Linked DNA regions of Ovis aries. The protein of the gene in region 1 purifies or fractionates together with the protein of each later gene. This does not show direct contact. Links are inferred from orthologs where the notes say so. Each region holds a gene or a part of one and is shown in the gene's direction. Other genes may lie near its edges.

Evidence for each region.
Region 2: the proteins of RARA (region 1) and PML purify together in Homo sapiens (affinity purification with western blotting; 6 studies listed by BioGRID, with this or other methods). This does not show direct contact. The link is inferred for Ovis aries from reciprocal best matches to the Homo sapiens genes RARA and PML.
Region 3: the proteins of RARA (region 1) and KLF5 purify together in Homo sapiens (affinity purification with western blotting; 4 studies listed by BioGRID). This does not show direct contact. The link is inferred for Ovis aries from reciprocal best matches to the Homo sapiens genes RARA and KLF5.
Region 4: the proteins of RARA (region 1) and KAT2B purify together in Homo sapiens (affinity purification with western blotting; 3 studies listed by BioGRID). This does not show direct contact. The link is inferred for Ovis aries from reciprocal best matches to the Homo sapiens genes RARA and KAT2B.

What each region holds. Positions count from the first base shown.
Region 1 is NC_056064.1:40,340,322-40,344,610, forward strand, and holds part of RARA (retinoic acid receptor alpha), read left to right. Parts: intron 1-890; coding exon 891-1,051; intron 1,052-1,340; coding exon 1,341-1,517; intron 1,518-2,727; coding exon 2,728-2,932; intron 2,933-3,706; coding exon 3,707-3,865; intron 3,866-4,289. UniProt on the Homo sapiens protein: Receptor for retinoic acid. Retinoic acid receptors bind as heterodimers to their target response elements in response to their ligands, all-trans or 9-cis retinoic acid, and regulate gene expression in various biological processes.
Region 2 is NC_056071.1:32,241,177-32,246,136, reverse strand, and holds part of PML (protein PML), read left to right. Parts: intron 1-738; coding exon 739-858; intron 859-1,269; coding exon 1,270-1,519; intron 1,520-2,834; coding exon 2,835-2,887; intron 2,888-3,559; coding exon of another isoform or gene 3,560-4,297; exon of another isoform or gene 4,298-4,639; intron 4,640-4,960.
Region 3 is NC_056063.1:48,408,373-48,413,332, forward strand, and holds part of KLF5 (Krueppel-like factor 5), read left to right. Parts: intron 1-595; coding exon 596-1,469; intron 1,470-2,487; coding exon 2,488-2,547; intron 2,548-4,960. UniProt on the Homo sapiens protein: Transcription factor that binds to GC box promoter elements. Activates the transcription of these genes.
Region 4 is NC_056054.1:278,284,886-278,290,489, forward strand, and holds the start of KAT2B (histone acetyltransferase KAT2B), read left to right. Parts: upstream 1-1,926; 5' UTR 1,927-2,072; coding exon 2,073-2,318; intron 2,319-5,604. UniProt on the Homo sapiens protein: Functions as a histone acetyltransferase (HAT) to promote transcriptional activation. Has significant histone acetyltransferase activity with core histones (H3 and H4), and also with nucleosome core particles.

The sequences.
Region 1 (4,289 bases):
CCCTTCCCCTCCCTCCACCTCCTCCCTGGCTGCTCTGTGCCCCGGAGCTGAGCAGCTGCCATTTCAATAGAATTAAAGCTTCCGAATGATAAACGTCTTGTCACAGCTGCAATTTTCTCTTCCCAAATTATCCCCCCTCTCTCTCTCTCCCGCTCCCTTCTCTCCCTTGCACTTTATTGAATTTGCAGAATCGACATGAGTGATCTCCAAATTATGCCAGCTCCCCCCCCACCCTGCTACCCCCTCCCTGGGTCCCCCACCCCCCACCCTCTCTTCCTCCAGCGTCAGCAGCCGCCACCACTGGCCCCGTGAGTGATTGTGTGTCTGGGATAATCGGCTGGTAACGACCCCATCGCTTCTTTAAAGCCGAGTGGTGTGTGCGGCTCAGCGCCCCCGGCGATTTGTCAGCTCCCCCGGCTAATGGGCCGAGAGAGTCTCCCACCCGGCCCCCTACTCTCAGGCTGGGGAGCCCTACTCCGTGTCTGCCCGCCCAGGGAGCTGCTCTGAGCCCATCCCGAGCACTGCCAGGAGGGCCGGGGGCAGGGAGGCTGGGAGCACAGACCTGGGACACCTGCACACGGGCTTTCACCCTGGAGAGTGAGCTGGAGCAGACGCCCGGAGAGCGAGCTGGTCTGGGGCACGCATGCTGTGGTCACAGGCCCTGGGGCAGGCCTCAGCGTGAGGGCCGGGTGGGCACCGCAGCGGGGGGGGGGGGGGCCAAGGGACCGGCTGTGCGGATGTCCCGCCTGCCTGCGCGCTCACGTGTGTGCACTTCTGTGCAGTGACAGTTCTTAGTCTGGTGGGCGGAGCTTGGGCTGGGGTTGGACGGCTGGGGGGATGGACCACTGACCCCACCTGCCCTCTCACTGTGCGGCCTGGGCCCTCCACAGCCGTGAGAAATGACCGGAACAAGAAGAAGAAGGAGGTGCCCAAGCCTGAGTGCTCTGAGAGCTACACGTTGACACCGGAGGTGGGGGAGCTCATCGAGAAGGTGCGCAAAGCGCATCAGGAGACCTTCCCTGCGCTCTGCCAACTGGGCAAATACACTACGGTATGGCCCACCCCCCGCCAACCTCATGCCCTCCAGCTGTCAGGCCTGCCCCTCCCCCAGGCTGGGCAAATACACTTCGGTACAGCCCCCCAGGGGCACACCTGCTTCTTCCAGGCCTGCCCCTCCGCAGCCCTGCTTGGGCTGCCTTGTCTGCCCCTTCCCCGCCTCTCAGGAAGTGAAGGCCAGTAGAGGGCAGGCCTGTGGGGCGGGGCAGGTAGAGCCAGGCCCAGAAGGGTGCCACCAGGGGAAGGCCCTCACTTTCCTCCCCCTGCCCCCCCCATCCGCCCAGAACAACAGCTCAGAACAGCGTGTCTCCCTGGACATTGACCTCTGGGACAAGTTCAGTGAACTCTCCACCAAGTGCATCATTAAGACTGTGGAGTTCGCCAAGCAACTGCCCGGCTTCACCACCCTCACCATTGCGGACCAGATCACCCTCCTCAAGGCTGCCTGCCTGGACATCCTGGTGAGGGTCTGCACCTTGCCCACCTAGGCACTGCCCCCTGTGTTCTTGGAGGATGTCCTGCCGCTCAAATAAGCACCTTCCTAAAAATCTGTCTGGAGTCAACCTGTCCAAAGGCCCACCCACCCAAACAGCCACCTTTGCTCTCTCCCGCATGTCTACCTGTCTGCTTAGCCACCCAGCACCCGGTGTGCACCATTCACCTGTACTCTCATTCGTCCATCCTCAGCCCATCTTTGATTCAGTGCTTCCGTCCAGCCACCCATCTTCCCATCTATTCAGTCTAATAAAGGTTCACCTGGGACCCTGTATGGCCAGGCCTTGAACTGGGTTTCAGAACAGAGGTGAACACACCACTGTCCCCTCTTGAGAATCTTCCATTGGTGGAGGCAACAGATAGGTAAACAGAGGTTGCAAAACTGTGATAAGTGCTGGCTGCAGATAGGGGAGGGCTGTCCCCTCCCTGCAGGACAGAGAGCCGCACTGCTGGGCCCTAGGGAAGAGCCCCAGAGGAGGTAGCCTCTAGAGGTGTGTAGAGCGGTATGTGGAAGGCCTGCTGGTGTGGGACCAGTGGGATTCAGGGGCCTGCAGGGCATTTGGTGGGGCCAGAGGGTAGGCTGGACTTGAGGCAGGATGGGGGCGGATGAGACTGTCAAATCCAAGGCTGGAGGGAGGCTTGTCCTCCCTGTCTTCCTCAGCCCTCCTGTTCCCTCTTGGCGACCTCCAAGGTCGGGAACCTGGGCTGTGACCAGGCTGCTGCTCCTGGTGGAAGGGAGATGCAAGAGGCAGGGTCAGGGTTTGAGAGAGCTGAAGATGAGGTACATTTACTGAGCTCTTGTTCTGTACCCAGCCCTGGGAACCATAGACCGAAACCCCCTTTGGTTTGGGCCTTCCTGGAAATGTTTTGTCTCCCTCTTAATTCTCTGTGTGGAGGCAGGATGCTGTAGATTTGCACTGTCTAATACAGTAGCCGCTGGCCATGTATGGCTGTTTTAAATTGAAATTAATTAAAATTAAATTCAGTTCCTCAGTTGCACTCAGCATGTCTCAAGTGCCCAGCGGTCACCAGTGTGACTGGTGGCTACTGTGTTGCACAGAAGGTTCTGTAGAACCGTAGTGGTCTGGCTGCCGGCCAGGTGGTCCTGGGGGGGATGCTGGTGCCGGAAGTGCTGGCGGATGTGAGTTCCTGAACTCGAGAACCCTCTGCACCCAGATCCTGCGGATCTGCACGCGGTACACGCCCGAGCAGGACACGATGACCTTCTCGGACGGGCTGACCCTGAACCGGACCCAGATGCACAACGCCGGCTTCGGCCCACTCACGGACCTGGTCTTCGCCTTCGCCAACCAGCTGCTTCCCCTGGAGATGGATGACGCTGAGACTGGGTTGCTCAGCGCCATCTGCCTCATCTGTGGAGGTGGGCAGGGGCCCTGGGTCTGGGGGCCAGGCTCAGGGGTGGTGGTGTGGCTTGCGGAGCCTCTCCCAGGGAGAAGCTGGGGGATCATTTGATCAGAAAGGCACCTGTCAGACAGGAAACTGAGTCCCAGTGGAGTAGGATCTGGTCTGTGGCCACAGGGCAAGGGAACAGTGATGGAGACCTGAGCTCTGGTTCCCTATTTCCAGGCAGCGCTCCTTACAGGGGGCTTACGAGTGAGGACTTGGAGGTCAGACCACCCAGGTTCAAATCCTGGCCAACATGTGACCTTCAGCAGGGTCGCTGAACTTCTCTGAGCCTCCATTTCTGTAAAATGGGGGCAGTAATGGTCTCCACTTCATAAAGTTGATGGGAGGATTAGGAGGTAATAAATAAGGCACAGTGTGCCCAGAGTAAGACCCAGGAGATGTTGGCTGCTGTTACTATTTTATTGACATGAGTGCTGCCATGTTGGGCTGGTGTCCAGAATAACCAGCAGGAGTGGGAGACCTACCTCTACTTAAGATGGCACTGCCTGTGTTTAGGGGTGTGGGCTCTCAGGGTGAGCTTTGGGACACCCTTGTCCCCAGCCCCTCTTTGCTCACATTTGCCCCTCTTTGCTCACATTTGAGAGCCTCTTAGGGCCTCTGTGTGTGGGGAGGCGTGGGGAGCAACGATACTCTGCCTGTGGCCTGGACAGGGGCGCCCCCTGGTGGTCACGATGGGGCCCGCAGCTGTGCTCCTCACCGGACTGAGCGGGCTTCTCTGCTTCTTCAGACCGGCAGGACCTGGAGCAGCCAGACAGGGTGGACATGCTGCAGGAGCCGCTGCTTGAGGCACTGAAGGTCTATGTGCGGAAACGGAGGCCCAGCCGCCCACACATGTTCCCCAAGATGCTGATGAAGATCACAGACCTCCGGAGCATCAGTGCTAAGGGTGAGGCTCTCTCCCTGTGTGTCTGCCATCCATGTCCAGAGTCAGGCCTCCTGCATCTGAGCCAGTACCCCACATCTTTGTGCCCATGTGATGCCCCACTCACCTGGACCCCACCGTGCCCAGGTGACCTCCCTGCCTGTGAGCCCCAAGGTGGCAGTGTCATCTTGGCATGCTAGTTTAGGGCATGGCTCTGGAACCAGACCATTGTGTGTCCTTGAGCGGGTCACACGACGGCTCTGAGCCTCAGTTACTCATCTGCAGAGCAGGGATAACATTTACGGAGTTGTCTTGAGATGTCAGTAGGAGAGTCAGCAGCACGTAGGAAGGGCCTGGCATCAAGCCCAGTGACCCCAGAGCCAGAGTTGGGAGCTACTTTGCCCTGCTGCCCTTCAGCTGTCGGGGCTGAGGAGAGCTGGCTTAGGTC
Region 2 (4,960 bases), on another chromosome or scaffold:
CCACCACCACTTTGTCCCTAGAGTTGTCTGTGCTGGTCTCTGCTTAGTCGCTCAGTCATGTCTGACTGCAACGCCATGGACCATAGCCTGCCAGGCTCCTCTGTCCATGAGGATTTTCCAGGCAAGAATACTGGAGTGGGTTGCTAAGCCCTCCTCCAAGGGATCATCCCAACCGAAGGATTGAACCCAGGTCTCCCACATTACAGGTGGATTCTTTACTGTCCGAGCCACCAGGGAAGCCCTGGAGTTGTCTAGGCTGGGTCTACTTGTCAAGCGAGCCTTGAGTTGTTGGCAGTATGATCCCTGAGGCCATCTTCTGGCACCGTTAGGATGCACAGGCATTGACGTAGTCCCTGGGGTGCCGCGCCTCAGGGTTGCCATAGGTGAAGTCATGGAGGCTGCAAGGAAGACTTCTGGTCCCCAGTAGGCTCTGGGTATTGGACCAGGAGCCAGCTCTTATGTCTGGGTGAGGCCTTGGAGACTGAGCTGACCCCACACCAGGGGACCTGGGTGGTCCTACTGCCTGGTCATTTTTGTTTTTTATATTTATTTATTTGGCTGCACTGGGTCTTAGTTGAGGCACACGCGCTCTTTAGTTTCGGCATGTGAGATCTAGTTCACTGACCAGGGGTCAAACCTGAGCCCCCTGCATTGGGAGTACAGGGACTTACACACTGGCCCACCAGGGTAGTCCCCTACCTGGTCATTTCTGACTACTTTTGTGTCCCAACTTTGCAGCCAGAGGAGGTGCCGAGGGACCAGATGCAAGCCGCGGGATTGGCCGTGGTACAGCCGGTGCCAGGGGCACACCCTGTGCCAGTGTACGCCTTCTCCATCCAAGACCCCTCCCGCAGAGAAGTAAGATATTCCCCAGCCCTCCCCTCCCCTTCCCAGGGCCCGGATCCCACTAGGTGGTAAGAGGTGGAATGGAAGTGAGAACCCAGACCTCAATAGGCACTGACTCTGCACTCTCCCAGCTCTTGGTTGCCGTGTTAGGAAGCTTCCCTCCAAGCAGGAGCCCCTCCCAGGGCAGTCAGAAGCCAGCAGAGATTGGTGGTCAGTGGTCACCAGCAGGGCCAGTGTGCCTGCTGACTTGGGAGGACCTCTGTGTAGAGAGGTGTGATCCGCACGGCAGATAGCAAAGGGGACAGGAGGAGCAAAGGGCATGGGGCGGGGAACAGATTCCTGCCACTCAGGTCTGGGTCTCTGCCCACGGCCCCAGTCCCCTTGGAGGCTCCTGACCCTGCCCTGTGACACCCCACTGCACAGGAGGGCACCCACACGCAGAAGAGGAAGGCCTGCCAGACCGAGTGCCCCCGGAAGGTCATCAAGATGGAGTCTGAGGAGGGGGAAGAGTCTAGGTTGGCTCAGAGCTCCCCTGAGCAGCCCAGGCCCAGCACCTCCAGGGCAGTCTCGCCACCCCACCTGGATGGGCCCTCCAGCCCCAAGAGCCCCATCATAAGAGATGAGCTCCCCTTGCCTGAAAGCAACCATCAAACCGGCGACCCTGCAGAGACAGGTAGGGAGTGGGGATGGGCAGGATGGGCTGAGGCCTGCATGCTGTCTTCCAGGGGCTGGGTGGGACCCCTCCTCTGCATCCTCACGCCCTTCCCAGGAAGCCCAAGGCAAGCAGCATTCCCTGTGTGTCTTGCCCTCAGCTGCCACCAAATGGGGAAGGGCAAGCCCAGGGTTTGTCTGGGGGGGGCTAGCGCGGATGGTTTAGCCCATGCTTTTCTGGGATGCCCATATAGGGAGCATGATAGCCTGGGGAACACATTTCCTTAGCTCCTTCCCCTGACACACCCTTTTTGAACCCAGTACCATGCCTCTGCACAGGATGGGTCTCCCCAAACAATGTTTGTTGGTGGGTGTCTAGCACATGCTCAGAGAAGACTTGGGTAAAGTCCACACCCGTCGGTTCCCAAATTTTTTTTACGAAGGCCATCCACCTAAGGTATCTCGCTTGCTCAAGGTATCTTTTATGGCCACTGCCAGACAGGGAGTCCTTTCATGTGAGTGGAGGTCAACCCCCAGAATCCTGGAATGTTCAAGACTGTTCTTCCTGGAGCTCTTTTACCCAGTGTCCAGCATTGTTTTCATTCTAGGTCCCACACTGACCCCTGTCCCCGGTCACACTGAACCCTGACCCTGGCCATACACTCAGCCCCAATGGAGAATCCTCGCTCACAAATGCTATTGGTAATCAGGTTTTGTAAACCTAAAGTATCTTTTAACTCAAACATCTCAGCTCACAGAGCTGAGAATTGGAACAACCAGTGTGCTGCTTTAGGATGGTCAAAGGTTCCAAACCAGGTGGTGCTTGTCACACCCCCTCCACAGGTAGTCAGTTCTGAATCATTCCAGGGCCAGTAGCTGAATTAAGTCGTCACAGACAAGGCATAGCAGGCAGTGATGGAAAGCCACCTTGAGTAACCCCTCCGTACAGGCAGATCCTGGCTTCCCAGGTGGCCCAGTGGTAAAGAACACGCCTGCCAACACAGGTAGACATCAGAGAGGCAGGTTCGATCCCTGCATTGGGGGTCCCCTGAAGGGAGGCACAGCAACCCACTCCAGTATTCTTGCCCGGAGAATTCCACTGGCAGAGAGGCCTGGCGGGCTACAGTCCACAGGGTTGCAAAGAGTCGGACATAACTGAGCGACTAAACAGGCAGATCCACGCTGGCACACACGCTGAATGTTGACAGCCCCCTTGCAGGGCACATGTTACCCACCCAGCCCACTGGCCTGCAAGGATTCCCACAGGAGAACACCCTGGGCTCCATCCACGAGCAGCCCTGGCAGGGCCTAACCCTGTCTCCCCTGCTCCGTTTCAGAGGAGCGCGTCGTGGTGATCAGCAGCTCGGAAGACTCAGATGCTGAAAACCCGGTGAGTTGCTCAGAAGTCTGACCCAGGACACTGCCTCCCCCCATTCCAGGTCCCCAGGGGCACAGCCCCAGCAGGTGACTCTCAGACTCACCTCGCGCCCAGGGGATTTATCAGTGAGGCAGTGAGTCCTGAGCTGTCCGGAGGATAGTCTCCAATTGCCAGCTGTGGCCTGGATCGCCCCAGCCCTCCCATCGTACCAGGGTAGGAGCCATCAGTAATCACACGTACTCTTTCTGAAGGCCTGGACAGGGCTTCCCTTCAGAGCCCTATATCTTTTCTGGACTAGCCAATGCCTGTGTCTGCGGCTTCCTTATGCATTGTCTGCCCTCCTAAGTCTCAGTGAGGGGGGCGGACCTGCACCCGTTCCCCGGTTAACGGCAGTGATGCAGGGCCACATGGGGGTATGAGGGTGCAGGGCAGCACCACGCAGGCCCCAGACTAGTACACTGTGACTCCATGTAAGCAGAACTTCCTTTAAAGCCATCCCACAGTGGGACAAGTGGCCGCACGGGTTGTGACCCTCCTGTCCCTGGAGGTTTGTTCATAGCGGTTCATAAAGGCCAGGCTGTCACCTGCCCAGGGGTGAAAGGGATCGGAATTAGAGTGGAAGGCTGGACTGGGTGGCCCCTGAGGCCCCTGCCAGCCTTCAGTCTGAGGTTCTGTGTTGGAAAGCGTGCGGAGCCCACTGAGACCGCCGTCCTGCCTCCTTCCTCATCCATCCAACCCCCGCCGAGAGCTCGCCGAGCGTCCCACTCCCTCCGGGCCTCTCGTCTGTCCCATGGCACATGCCGCCCCTCGGCTTGGCCTCCCCACCATCCTGCCGAGCAAGCTGCCATCCCCGACGCTGAGAGTCCCAGCCAGCCTGCCGGTCACCAGGAGCAAGCTGCCGTCCACCGTGGGATCAGCTTCCTGTCACGTGGGGCGCAAAGAGCCCTGCGCCCTCGCAGCACCTTTCACCTGCCCCTCAAAACGTATGGTGCCCACAGGTGGCCTTGGCCTCCGTCCATGGGTCAAGCCACCACCCCGGCCACCACTGGGCCTCCCAGCCAACCTGCCAATCCCCAGGAGGATCCCACCTGCCCCCAAAGGGCCAGCGGCCAACCCCACCTGGTGCAACTGGCTGCACGACCCCTTGACCCCTTCCCTGCTGTGTCCCAGTGGCTCAACATCTTTCCCCTTCCTCACCCCCCTGGGATCTCCCAGCGTAACACCTTTTATAGGAGAATAATGCGGGGAGGCAGAGCATCCCAAATTCCTGGAGCAGGGGTCTCCCCTGGGGATTCTGGCAGGGCCCCCATGGAAAATCCCCCAGTCCAGGTCCCCCCGGAGGCCTCTCCAAGTGCATTCCTACCACTCCACCCTCTGGAGAGGCCACCCATCAGCACAGACACCCCGCAGACAAGCCTCTGAGTGTCCCAAGCGCCTCCCTCCTCTGCAGCCCTGGAGCTTGGCAGGTTGGCATCCCAAACGTCTTGTCACAGAATGAAGCAGGGAATGCATGGCTCCATGGACCTCTGAACAAAGAGGGTTAAGGCCTCCCCAGTCAGGATATTCTCGTTCCTCACATCCTCAAGTCTCTTTGCCCAAGACAAGGAAGCTTCTCGCACCCTTTGCAACTCCCACAGCCCCATTCTCCCGCCCCAAGCTTTCCCACTGGGCCTCTGCCAGGATGTAAGCCCATGAGGGCAGGGACTGTGTGGCTCCCAGGCCCTGGCAGGTGCAGCTGCTCAATAAACACTTATTGAACAATTACCCTCGCAAACCCTTCTTCCATGACCATCGGATTCCCTGCTGGGCCTCTCCTCCCGGCTAGTGGTCTTTGTCTCCTCTGCACGGACTCTTGGTTCACCTGTGGGGCTGCTGTGACCCTCTTTCTGCCATAGCCTGTGTGAGCAGCAGAGGTGGGAGGTGGGGTCCAGGCCCTCTGCCTCCTGGACTGTCTTGGTTCTGCCACCTGGCAACATCCTCCATGTCCTTGAGGTTCGGGCCCTCCAGATGAACCCCGCTTTCCCCAGCTCATCTTAGACATTCTTGGGCTCCCCACTGTATTGGAAGACTGCCTCCTAGGTTTCC
Region 3 (4,960 bases), on another chromosome or scaffold:
ATTGTATTTAAGTTTCCATTGAACTGTAAACTGGAAAAGGCACTTAAATAGCCAAAGAATATGTTTTATATTAGCTATTTCGGCAATATCTACCCAAGCAAAGAAATTTTGCAATATTAACTTTAACCGTGAAGGTTTACTGAGGTTTTTTTTTCCCTTTTCAACCACTGGATTTACCTATATGACATGAATAAGATAGAGATAATTTGGCCTTATTACAATACTGTATTTTCAGTTGTAATGGAGCAGAGAATCCTGCTTGTATATGAGTGATGATAAAGTATACTTTATTATTGCATCAGAAAGGAATATTTTTTTCTCTTTGCTTCCTTTTTCTTCTTGATTTGTCTCTTTCACTTTGTCTGGGGTTGACCGGGGGCGATTTTACCAAACACTTGTTATACACAGTTTCATAAGGTTTTTGGTGAACCATTTGTTTCACAGTTGACAAACCTGATATGTTTATAAGCAACACTTAGGAGTTTGCCTTGGGTATTTTTCATAGAGATTGTTGGGAATTTTAGTAAGCACAGTTTGTTCTTCCCGAGATGATGAATTGGGCAGATTATACATGTTTCTATCTCTTCTTTTTTAGACAAGATGTGAAATGGAGAAGTACCTGACACCTCAGCTTCCTCCAGTTTCTATAATTCCAGAACATAAAAAGTATAGACGAGACAGTGCCTCAGTCGTAGACCAGTTCTTCACTGACAGTGAAGGGTTACCTTACAGTATCAACATGAACGTCTTCCTCCCTGACATCACTCACCTGAGAACTGGCCTCTACAAATCCCAGAGACCGTGTGTAACACACATCAAGACAGAACCTGTTACCATTTTCAGCCACCAGAGTGAGACGACAGCCCCTCCTCCGGCCCCAACACAGGCCCTCCCCGAGTTCACCAGCATATTCAGCTCCCACCAGACCGCAGCTCCAGAGGTGAACAATATTTTCATCAAACAAGAACTTCCTACACCAGACCTTCATCTTTCTGTCCCTCCCCAGCAGGGCCATCTGTACCAGCTCCTGAATACACCGGATCTAGATATGCCTAGTTCTACCAACCAGACAGCAGTAATGGACACTCTTAACGTATCAATGTCGGCCGCCATGGCAGGCCTTAACACTCACACCTCCGCCGTCCCGCCGACCGCCATGAAGCAATTCCAGAGCATGCCCCCTTGCACATACACCATGCCAAGTCAGTTTCTTCCCCAGCAGGCCACTTACTTCCCCCCGTCACCACCAAGCTCAGAGCCTGGAAGTCCAGATAGACAAGCAGAGATGCTTCAGAATTTAACCCCACCTCCATCCTATGCTGCTACCATTGCTTCTAAACTGGCAATTCATAATCCAAATTTACCTGCCACCCTGCCAGTTACTTCGCAAAACATCCAGCCTGTCAGATACAATAGAAGGAGTAACCCTGATTTGGAGAAACGGCGCATCCACTACTGCGATTACCCAGGTATGTGATCCTACCTGGTTAAAGAATCAGTGTGTGTGTTTAGTGTGTTCGTGCGTGCCATTTTCCACCTCACATTCCAACTTTACATGGGAGACTAGTGGTTGACAGTTAAAAGAAAATTCACCTGCTCTGCTCTTGCGGCATCCCAGTCTCCAGTGCCTTACCCAAGTAACTGTTTAGTTACTTTGTGCTTATTTGATAATAGTAAAAAAAAAAGTTTGGAATATTATGGGAAAAAAAAAGTTACTGGACTCTTTTCTTTTTAATGTTAAATACATGAGAGTCTTGCTACACTTACCATGTTTACTGTAGCAATCTAAATTGGAGTTCTTAATTCTAAATTAAGTAACCTGGAAAGGAATTACTTAAGTAACATAGGGGAAAAGAATGGGTGGCAATGAAGAGTGGGTTGGTGCAAGACAAGACCATCTATAGAATAGATTTCAGGGTTGGTTCTGATAGCATGTGACCATATGCTCTTTCTTGAATGAGATATGTGGTCCAAAATATAAATTGATGATGGTGATGAATATATCTAGAAGTTGCTGGCATAAGCTAGTTTATGATTAATACAGGGTATAATTTATTGACTGTGGTACGTGATATGACATGACATACTAAATGAAAAAACAAGAAATGTGGGAGTACAGAAAATTGCAGTCATCTTGGATAATGGTTTAACATTGTCAGCTCTGGAGCCATTAAAATTTTTTAACTCACTGAGGTATGTGTTACTAGTATAAAGCACCTACTGGTATAAACACAGATTTCCCATTTGTAGTTTGGCTTGATTGTCTGCTCTCTTTCTGCTAAAGTGAAACATAAAGCAAATCACTTTATACCTTTAATCAGGTAATAGGGGAGTATGCTTTAAAACATCTCTTAAAACTGAAGCTTCAAATATCTCCTTGCATGAGAGATTTCATCTTTAAAGCCCGATTTTAAACACTGAATCATCAGATGTAAAGATTTCAAAAGGATCTCCAGAATGACACGCTGTTCTTCTCCTTTATTTCAGGCTGCACAAAAGTTTATACAAAGTCTTCTCATTTAAAAGCTCACCTGAGGACTCATACTGGTATGTAATTTTCTTGTTAATTCTGTGAGTTGTGTAAATAGTATAAGTGGTATTCATCCTTTTAAAAGCCAGCACATGTTTGATCTCTTCTTTCTTCTGTCAACTTTTATTTTTTAATGGCTTACCTTTTTCAGCACTGGCTTGGCTCAAAATTCAGTTCAGTGAAAAAAGTTTGGTTCCAGGAAGGCTGATGTTCCCTCATTAAGGCCTTGCCCTGTCACCTCACATAGAATTAATTGCTCCCAAACATAAACAACAATGTTTACTAATGGATTTTAAAACTTTAATGGCATTGCTATTCCTATCTTGAAGGAAAAAAATGTAACTCATTTTCTCCCTCCAGAACAAATCAGTTGGCTTCTATAAAACTACATCAAACACTAAAGCCTTTTCCATTTAGCAGGTAAAGCATAATTGCTTAATAAATTATCTTAATTTCACCTTGAGCCTAAAATATCTGTGTTTAGCATGTTTTCCCTGCTGGTGAAAGGTGGGCTGGAAATTGAAAAATACTAAAATCAGGCAAAACTAGAGTCGTGGTTTAAAAGTTATTTTACATTCTACCCCAGTCCATATTATACATTGGAGAGACTTTATTCCAGCTAATATCTCATCTGTGTTTAAAATGTTTAGCCCCTATAATTTTATAAAAACTTTTGTCAGATCTATACACTCATTTTAAAATTTTCAAAGCTTTATATCAGAACTTATTTGAGGATGAAATTAGATGGTGGCAAGCTGTAAAAATCTCCAAATACCCGAAGTATTTTTAAAACTATGGGTGGTTACCATTAGTGATTTTCTTAAAAGGATAGGCCTGAAGGAAAGAACCTATACAAAGTGATTGTGTTTTTTTTTCCTCTCCGTAAATGCAGCTTTAACCTAAAGTTCAGAGAATAAGTTTGCTAATAAAAGCAATGACCTAGCAAAATGTTTTATTCCATCATTGCTATGGAAACCAAAGTGTTCAACAGTTCCTTTGAATGGGCTGCTGGATTAGTGTGAGGACTTGAATCTCCCCAGGCTAGATGTTACTATGGAAATTGAGTTTTGATAAATGAAGTAGTTATCTCTAACTGCTGCATTAAAAAGTAAAAGCCTTTGAACAAAGGTCAGTGCTGAGATAGAGCTCAAAGAGGAACATGGCTGCAGACATTTCTTATGCGCATTGGAAAGTATTGCTTGATATCCCAGTGATAAATACTACTTAAAATCTGAGTAGTGTTGGCGACAATGTGGTAGATTCCAGGGCTTTCTGAGAAATTGCTTTTAAAGAAAAGACATCTCCTGTATTTATCAGTGAAACCAGTGGGTTGTTTCAACCTGAAGTTTTTAGGTAGAGACAAAAGGCTATCTCCTAATCCCAAAGTAGAAGTTATATTTATACTTAAACAAACACCCATTAGCATGTAAACTCAGTCTGCAGTTTTCAGCATACAAATGACAAGACCATGAAAACAGTCTATGGAAATACTAAACTATCCTTTTATAGAATATATATTATATATTTAGCAAGAAACATTGAAAATGGGTTTTTACTTGAATTATGATTAAGGAGAAGAGGAAATAACTTCAGAACTTTTGAGCTCTTGTCCTTTCTCCTTTGAAAGTCCTTGAAATGGGAGATAGGAAGGAGGAAACAATGTTTCTCCTGAGGTTAAAGTCTCCTAATAAAGGAGGAGCATGATTCCATATATCGATGCAATCAACTGCTTATTGCTGGGATGTAGTCAGGGCATATCTAAATGGCCTTGCAACCCCTGGCAGGGTTTAGTGCTCAGAATGCTTATACCTGGGATTCTGGAACTTGACCTGCTGGCAGGGAAATTTAATAGTGGGTTGTCTTAACGATGCTTATACTGAAAAAGATAAAAACCAACTAAAAAGAAGATGTAGGCCTAGTTTGAATCCCATGTATCGACTTTTCCACGCGATCATAAATGTGTGTCCATTGACATCTGATGAGTGAGACCCCGTAATCCAGTTTAATAAAGTTTTGTTTGATAGCCTTTCAGACGCCTCGAGGAGGGTTTGTGGCAGACTTGTTCATCTGGCTAAACCCGTTCTTGGGTAATCATAGAGCATTGAGGTTGTTTTCTCCTCATTTTTAGTTTCTACACAATGCCTTTGAAAATTACCTGTGTGCTCTCATTGCATCCTCCCCACCCTGTCGTTTTTTAATGAATGTATCTGAAGCTAGCGAAGTTTTTTTTCTTTCCTTCTTCCTTTAAAGGCCCAGGTATTTCTAAATGACTTCTCTCAGTGTAATTAACTTTTTGTTTTAGAGGACTTAAAAAAAAATTTATGTGGGAATGTTGATATTGTATTTTTGATATAAAAACTTTTTAACGATTGCCACTTTAGGCAGAATGTGCAGGACCCTAGGACTTCTTTAGAAAATAATTGTAATTGC
Region 4 (5,604 bases), on another chromosome or scaffold:
TATGATGAAAATTTCAAATGTACAGAGCAGATTTAAAAATTGCAGTGAACACTCATATGCCTACTGTCTAGATTCAACATTCGCTCTACTGGTCTGATCTTATATAACTATCTGATCCTGCTTGTGCCCTCACAGACAGATCAATCCACCTTCTTTTTAATGATTCTTAAAGCACACGGTATATATCAGGACACTGTGTCCCTAAACTTTCAGCAGGAGAACCACCAACTAGACTTTAATATTTACGATTTTTGATTTCTTTAAAAAATATAATTTTTTAAATATAGGAAGGATATTTTTATCCAGTGAAATGCACAGATCTCAAGGGGACCATCAGTTTGACAAATGCCGCCACTAAGCTCCTTACAATATCTGCTGACATCATGATGTTGGCCTTTGCTCATGGGATTGCAGCCTTTAAGACATCCTGCTGAGACTGTCCTGATGGAACTAAAGTCTACCATTTCAGACCTTCCGATGGGGCTCGAGTTGGGAGGGGCCCTTTCCTTTTGTGCTGTCTAATGTCCCTGGATTTACAAACTTAGAAAAAATAGAGTTCATTTTTATATATCACTCTGTATTAAAAGTAGAAAGAACACAGAGAACCTAGAAAAAGGCTAGAGAAAATTAACTGGAAAAAAATGGGATGGGAGAGGGAATAATTTCAGGGAAAAGCACATTCCTGCAAGCATTCTGGCTGGAGTTGGGCAAGGCTATAAAGTATGCAAAGAATTTGATAACACGCACATTAATGGCCCGTATTATGTAAAAATTATGGCCGGTACAAAAGCAGGACACTTGTGGAGGGTCTTGAAATATAGCATTGGGCTTTCAAAAGCTGCTTCGGAAAGGCCGACCAAAAGTGCACAACCTTCAAATGAAGAAAACTGAAACATTCTGCGAATTACTAACCACCACTCTCCTTGTCATCAACCATGGGAACGGTAGTCTGCGACAGTCTCAACAAAGTTGAAAACGCTGAGTTGAGCTTTTTTTTTTTTTTTTAAGTTTGAGGCCAGAATCAACACATTCTTTTGGATGCTGCCTAATTGTTTTCATGTTTAATATGCATGCTGGTGATATCAGTTTTGAAAACTGTGAAACATTACAGGGAAGAAGGATATAGAAAGGAGTACGGTTCTAACCCCCACCTGCAGAGATGAGCGCGAGCAGCCAACTTCTCCCCCTGCGTTTAGTTTTCACACGGCGTTTCTTGGACGACCGTTCTTTCCACAACCAGCCCTTTCGAACAAAAACGTCAGAAAATATCCATTAACGTCTTTCCCTTTCTCTGCCGGATGGGATCCAGAGATCGCTTATAGGCTGGAAGCGTTCTGGATTAAAAGAGAGACCTTGGAAGGCAAAGGAACTGCAAAGAGACACGCAAAACATCACGCCTTTATTTTGGTGAATTAGCAACAAAGAAAAGGATTAGCGTGGACGGGTACTTTTCAAAAATGTTTTTTTCCCTCGGGCTCCCGCTAGGGTGGAGGAAGTTGCCCGGCTCCGAGGGCGGGTGGACTGGAGTAGAGAGACGGACGGGGCGCGTCCCTCCCGCCTGCGCCCCCGCGGGGACGGCTTGGAGGGGGGGCGGCCGGCAGGTGCCCGCATCCCCCTCCCTCTCCACCCCTCCAGCCCGCGGCGGGCCTTCCCGCTGGCGGGCGCGGGCCTGGGGCGCGGGGGCGGGCAGGCCGCGGGGGGCGGGGCGGGGCCGGGGAGGAGCGCCCGGGGGGCGGGGCGGGGCCGGGGAGGAGCGCCCGGGGGGCGGGGCGGGGCCGGGGAGGAGCGCCCGGGGGGCGGGGCCGGGGAGGAGCGCCCGGGGGGCGGGGCGGAGCGCGCGGCCGGGGGAGGAGCGCCCGGGCGGGCGGGGAGGCCCGCGGGGAGGAGGCCCGGCGCGCGGCGGGCAGCGCCGGCCCCTCCCTCCGCGAGCAGCTGCGGCCTCGGCGCGCGGCGGGCGGCGGGCGGCGGCGGGCGGCGGGTGGGGGTCCCGCGCTCCGGCGCCCAGAGCCAGGCGGAGACCCTGGCGGCGGCCGCGGCCCCGACTCGCGGCGCCTGCTGCGCTCCGGGCCGGCATGTCGGAGGCGGGCGGGCCCGCGCCCGGGGCGCCCCCGCTGCCCCCCGCGCCCCCGCAGGGCCCCCCGGGCGCGACGGCCGGGGGCGCGGGCTCCTGCGGGCCGGCCGCGGCGGGGGCGGCGGCGGGCGCGGCCGAGGGCCCGGGCGGCGGCTGCTCGGCCCGGATCGCCGTGAAGAAGGCGCAGCTGCGCTCCGCCCCGCGGGCCAAGAAGCTGGAGAAACTCGGGGTGTACTCCGCCTGCAAGGTAGGCGCGCCGCCCGGCCCCCGCCCGCCCCCGGGCCGAAGAGCCGCCCCGGGCCGAGCCCCGTCGCGGGGCGCCGACCCGAGAGGACCCCTCCCCCCCCCAGGCGTTGCTCCGCGTCCGCGCTGCCCTGGGGCGCTGCTGCTCTGTAGGAGCTCGCCGCAGGCGCCTTCCGGGAGCGGAGCGGGTCCCAGGGAGCCCCTCTCGGGGGCCTGCGCGCCCCCCCTCGGTCCTCGTCCCCTCTGGGCGGAGCTGGGTGGAAGTGGGGGCGCGACTCCGGACTCGGGGCGCGCGGGGCGGGGGGAGCGGCCGCGGGGTCCCGGGGCGCTGCGCGTGCGGGCGGCCGGGCGCCCCGTGCTTTGCTTTGCAGCCGGGACGCTGCCCCGGCTCTCGGCTGTAAACAGCACTCCCGGCTCTTCTGCCCGTCCGGACGCGGCGCCGCCTGGGGGCCGCTGTCAGCTCGGCCTGGGCCGGGTGACGGCGGGGCGGGGACGGGCGTCCCGGCCCTGCGCCCCCCGCGGAGGGGGCCAGGCCGGGCGCTCGGGGTCAGTAGCCCCGCGCGCGCGTCCCCCGGCCCGGGGGCTTCAGCGTCTGCAGGGGAGTCTCGGCTCCTGGGCGCGCTCCCCTCCGCGCCGCTCACGCCCTGTGTGGACCCTGCCCGGTTCCGTGCAGGCTTGTCGGCTGGGGTAGCATGCACTCACGCTTGAGTGCTCACGGGCATCTCCCGGGCGCCGCTTCCATTTTCACGCGATGTCCGAAGGGCTGGGACGAGGCTGAGAGGCTGCTCTATGGGGGTGCGATGCTGGGCGGCTCACAGGCCCCATCCCGCGGGCAAACCCCAGTGCCACCCGGGACGGTGTCGGACTACTGAAACTGGGCGACAGCGGTGCCCCGAGGCTGGTGTTTCTGAAGGAGCAAAAGTGACCGAGGAGGAGAGTGCTTCTTAGAAGGGCCCGGGGGGTGCCTGGCAGGCGCCGTAGATGAGAGAACGAGGCGGGGGAGCCGCGGGCGCAAGGCAGGTCTGCGCCGGGCCGGGAACGGGCCCAGGTACCCGGCGGCCGCGGGTTCGGAACCAGAGGGGCTCGGCCCGGCGGCGCTTGTCCGCTCCGAGTTTCTAGTGTGGTCTTTTAATCGGGTTCCTTCTCACCCTGCTGCTCCCCTAACTTGCCTGAAGTTTTGGTTCTGTCTAAAACCCTTGAGCATCTGCCCTGCATTCATATTTTTAATCCTTTCAAATGTCCGTGAGTGAAATTAGCGCCTTTTCTAAAGTTTATAACTTGACTGTTTTACGTGCACGTTAACAACCAAACCTATTGGAACGGAGCGCCTTGTCATCGAAGGTGTCTCTTCTTGCTCCTGGGAGGCTGAGGCTCCATATCCAGTTGCTCGTTAGTTCATGCAGTGTTAGAGGGATTCCCATCAGGGTGCCAGGCGTCGTGCTAGCTGGGACAGTGACACCCAGAATGTGTCCTTCTGGGGCTACTGGCCGGACGTGTGCGCGGCCTTTCGTGCAAGTGGTGGGTGAGCCAGTTACAGTGAATCTCAGAAAACTTGCCTTTTTAGAATGCTGTTGGCACTCAGACCAGGCCCTTCACGGACTGAAAAGCACGGGTTGGGTAGGAATAGCTTCCTGGAGGAAGTGTCAGTGGGTGCTAAGAACTCTTAGCGGTGCAGGGTGGGGTGAGCTGCAGCCTCTAGTAGTGAAGAGACTGAAAGCAGTTCTGACAGCTTGGAGCTGGGCCAGCAGGGCCTAGAGGGTTGGTGGGGAGGTGTGTGTGTGGCCAAGAGGGAGGACAGGGATCTTAATATTATCTCAGGTTTTTTGTTTGTGTTTTAACTGTTCTTGAGTGTGAGGAGGTGCAGGAGACCAGCATCTGTGTTCCTTTCTGAGCTTGCCTGTACCTTTTATATAAGAAAACCCCAAAGGACAGATTCCCCTACCTTCTGTCACTGATCGGCCACTTGGCAAAAGTGGCATCTCTCTGGAAAGAGGAGTACTTTCCTGGGGGTGGGGGTGGGTGGGTGTTGGAGTTATTGAAAGAAAATAGGCCTCAGACCTGATAAAAGTCTGGCCTTTAAACTTCACAAACAAGCAGAAAAAGAAGGGAGCTAGTTCCTAGCCAGGGAGGGGCACCACACCCCGGAGAGAAAAAAAAAAGAAACAGACTTGTTTTGCAGGATCCGGAGTAGAGCTCTTGGAACTGTGTCCTGGCCCAGGTCGCTCAGGTGACCCAGGCAGAGTGCTCGTTAAAAATGTAGGTCTGAGCACATTCTGTCCCTACTGACCCTTAATTTCTCTTTACCGCAAGACCCTGCATGGGCTGGCCACTGCTGTCTCTCCGGCCCCTTTTGAGGGCTGTGCATGCAAGGTTCCCTTCTGCCTCAGGGCCTTTGCACATACTGTTCACCAGGACCGAAAGTTCATCTTCCCTCACCTTCAAGCGAACTCCCAGCTCTTCCTGCAAACCTGATTCCTTGCATCACATTCAGAACCCTATTCAGCCTTCCCATTCTAAATTTTCAGAACCCCTCTCTGTACTCATGTCTTCTTCCTGGTGCTTTTGTCTTGACTTTTAATTGTGTGATTATTTGATGATATGTTTGTCACTCTGGATAGATGCTAAGTGATGTGGTTATTGACTGGCTGAGTGAACTAGAAAAAACCGAGATGATTCACTGCTAGAAGACCAGTAGTGAAATTGTAGCCTGATCACTCTTTGACAGCTGGGTGGAGGGAATTGGTGATTTTTCACCTAGGGCCTTTCCAGGGCTCTCACAGATGTGCATAGGACTAGATTTTTAGTGTTATAGGAGCGCCGAGTAAGTTACAAGGAGCCCAAATCCATATCTGTTTGAATGAGAGTGTAATTTATGTACCGGAAAGCCAAAACCATTACCTGATTCTTCCTAGTGAAATAGGCCATTTCTCGAGGAGAGGAGGCTGGAGGGGGTGGTGGGCGAGAGCCCCGTGCGTTCACACTTCAGGCCCCGGTGCGTGACCTTGGACGCGGACTTTACCTCACTCTCCGTCTCCTTGCCTACAGCGCGGGGCTCGGAGCCGCCACCTCGCAGGGTGACACTGCGGACTTCAGATGGGCTACTGTGTCTGAGCACCAGCAGGCGCGTGGTCCCTGGTGCATCCTCTCAGCAGCTCAGAGGAGGGTACCCTGGAGGCGTGGGAGTCGAGAAGGAACGCGGGGCTTGGTCTCGGGTCTCAGCTCTGCCGCGTGTGTGGCCTTGGGCACCAGCCACGGAGTTTCCCTCTGAACCTGGCTTGCTTCATCTCTAA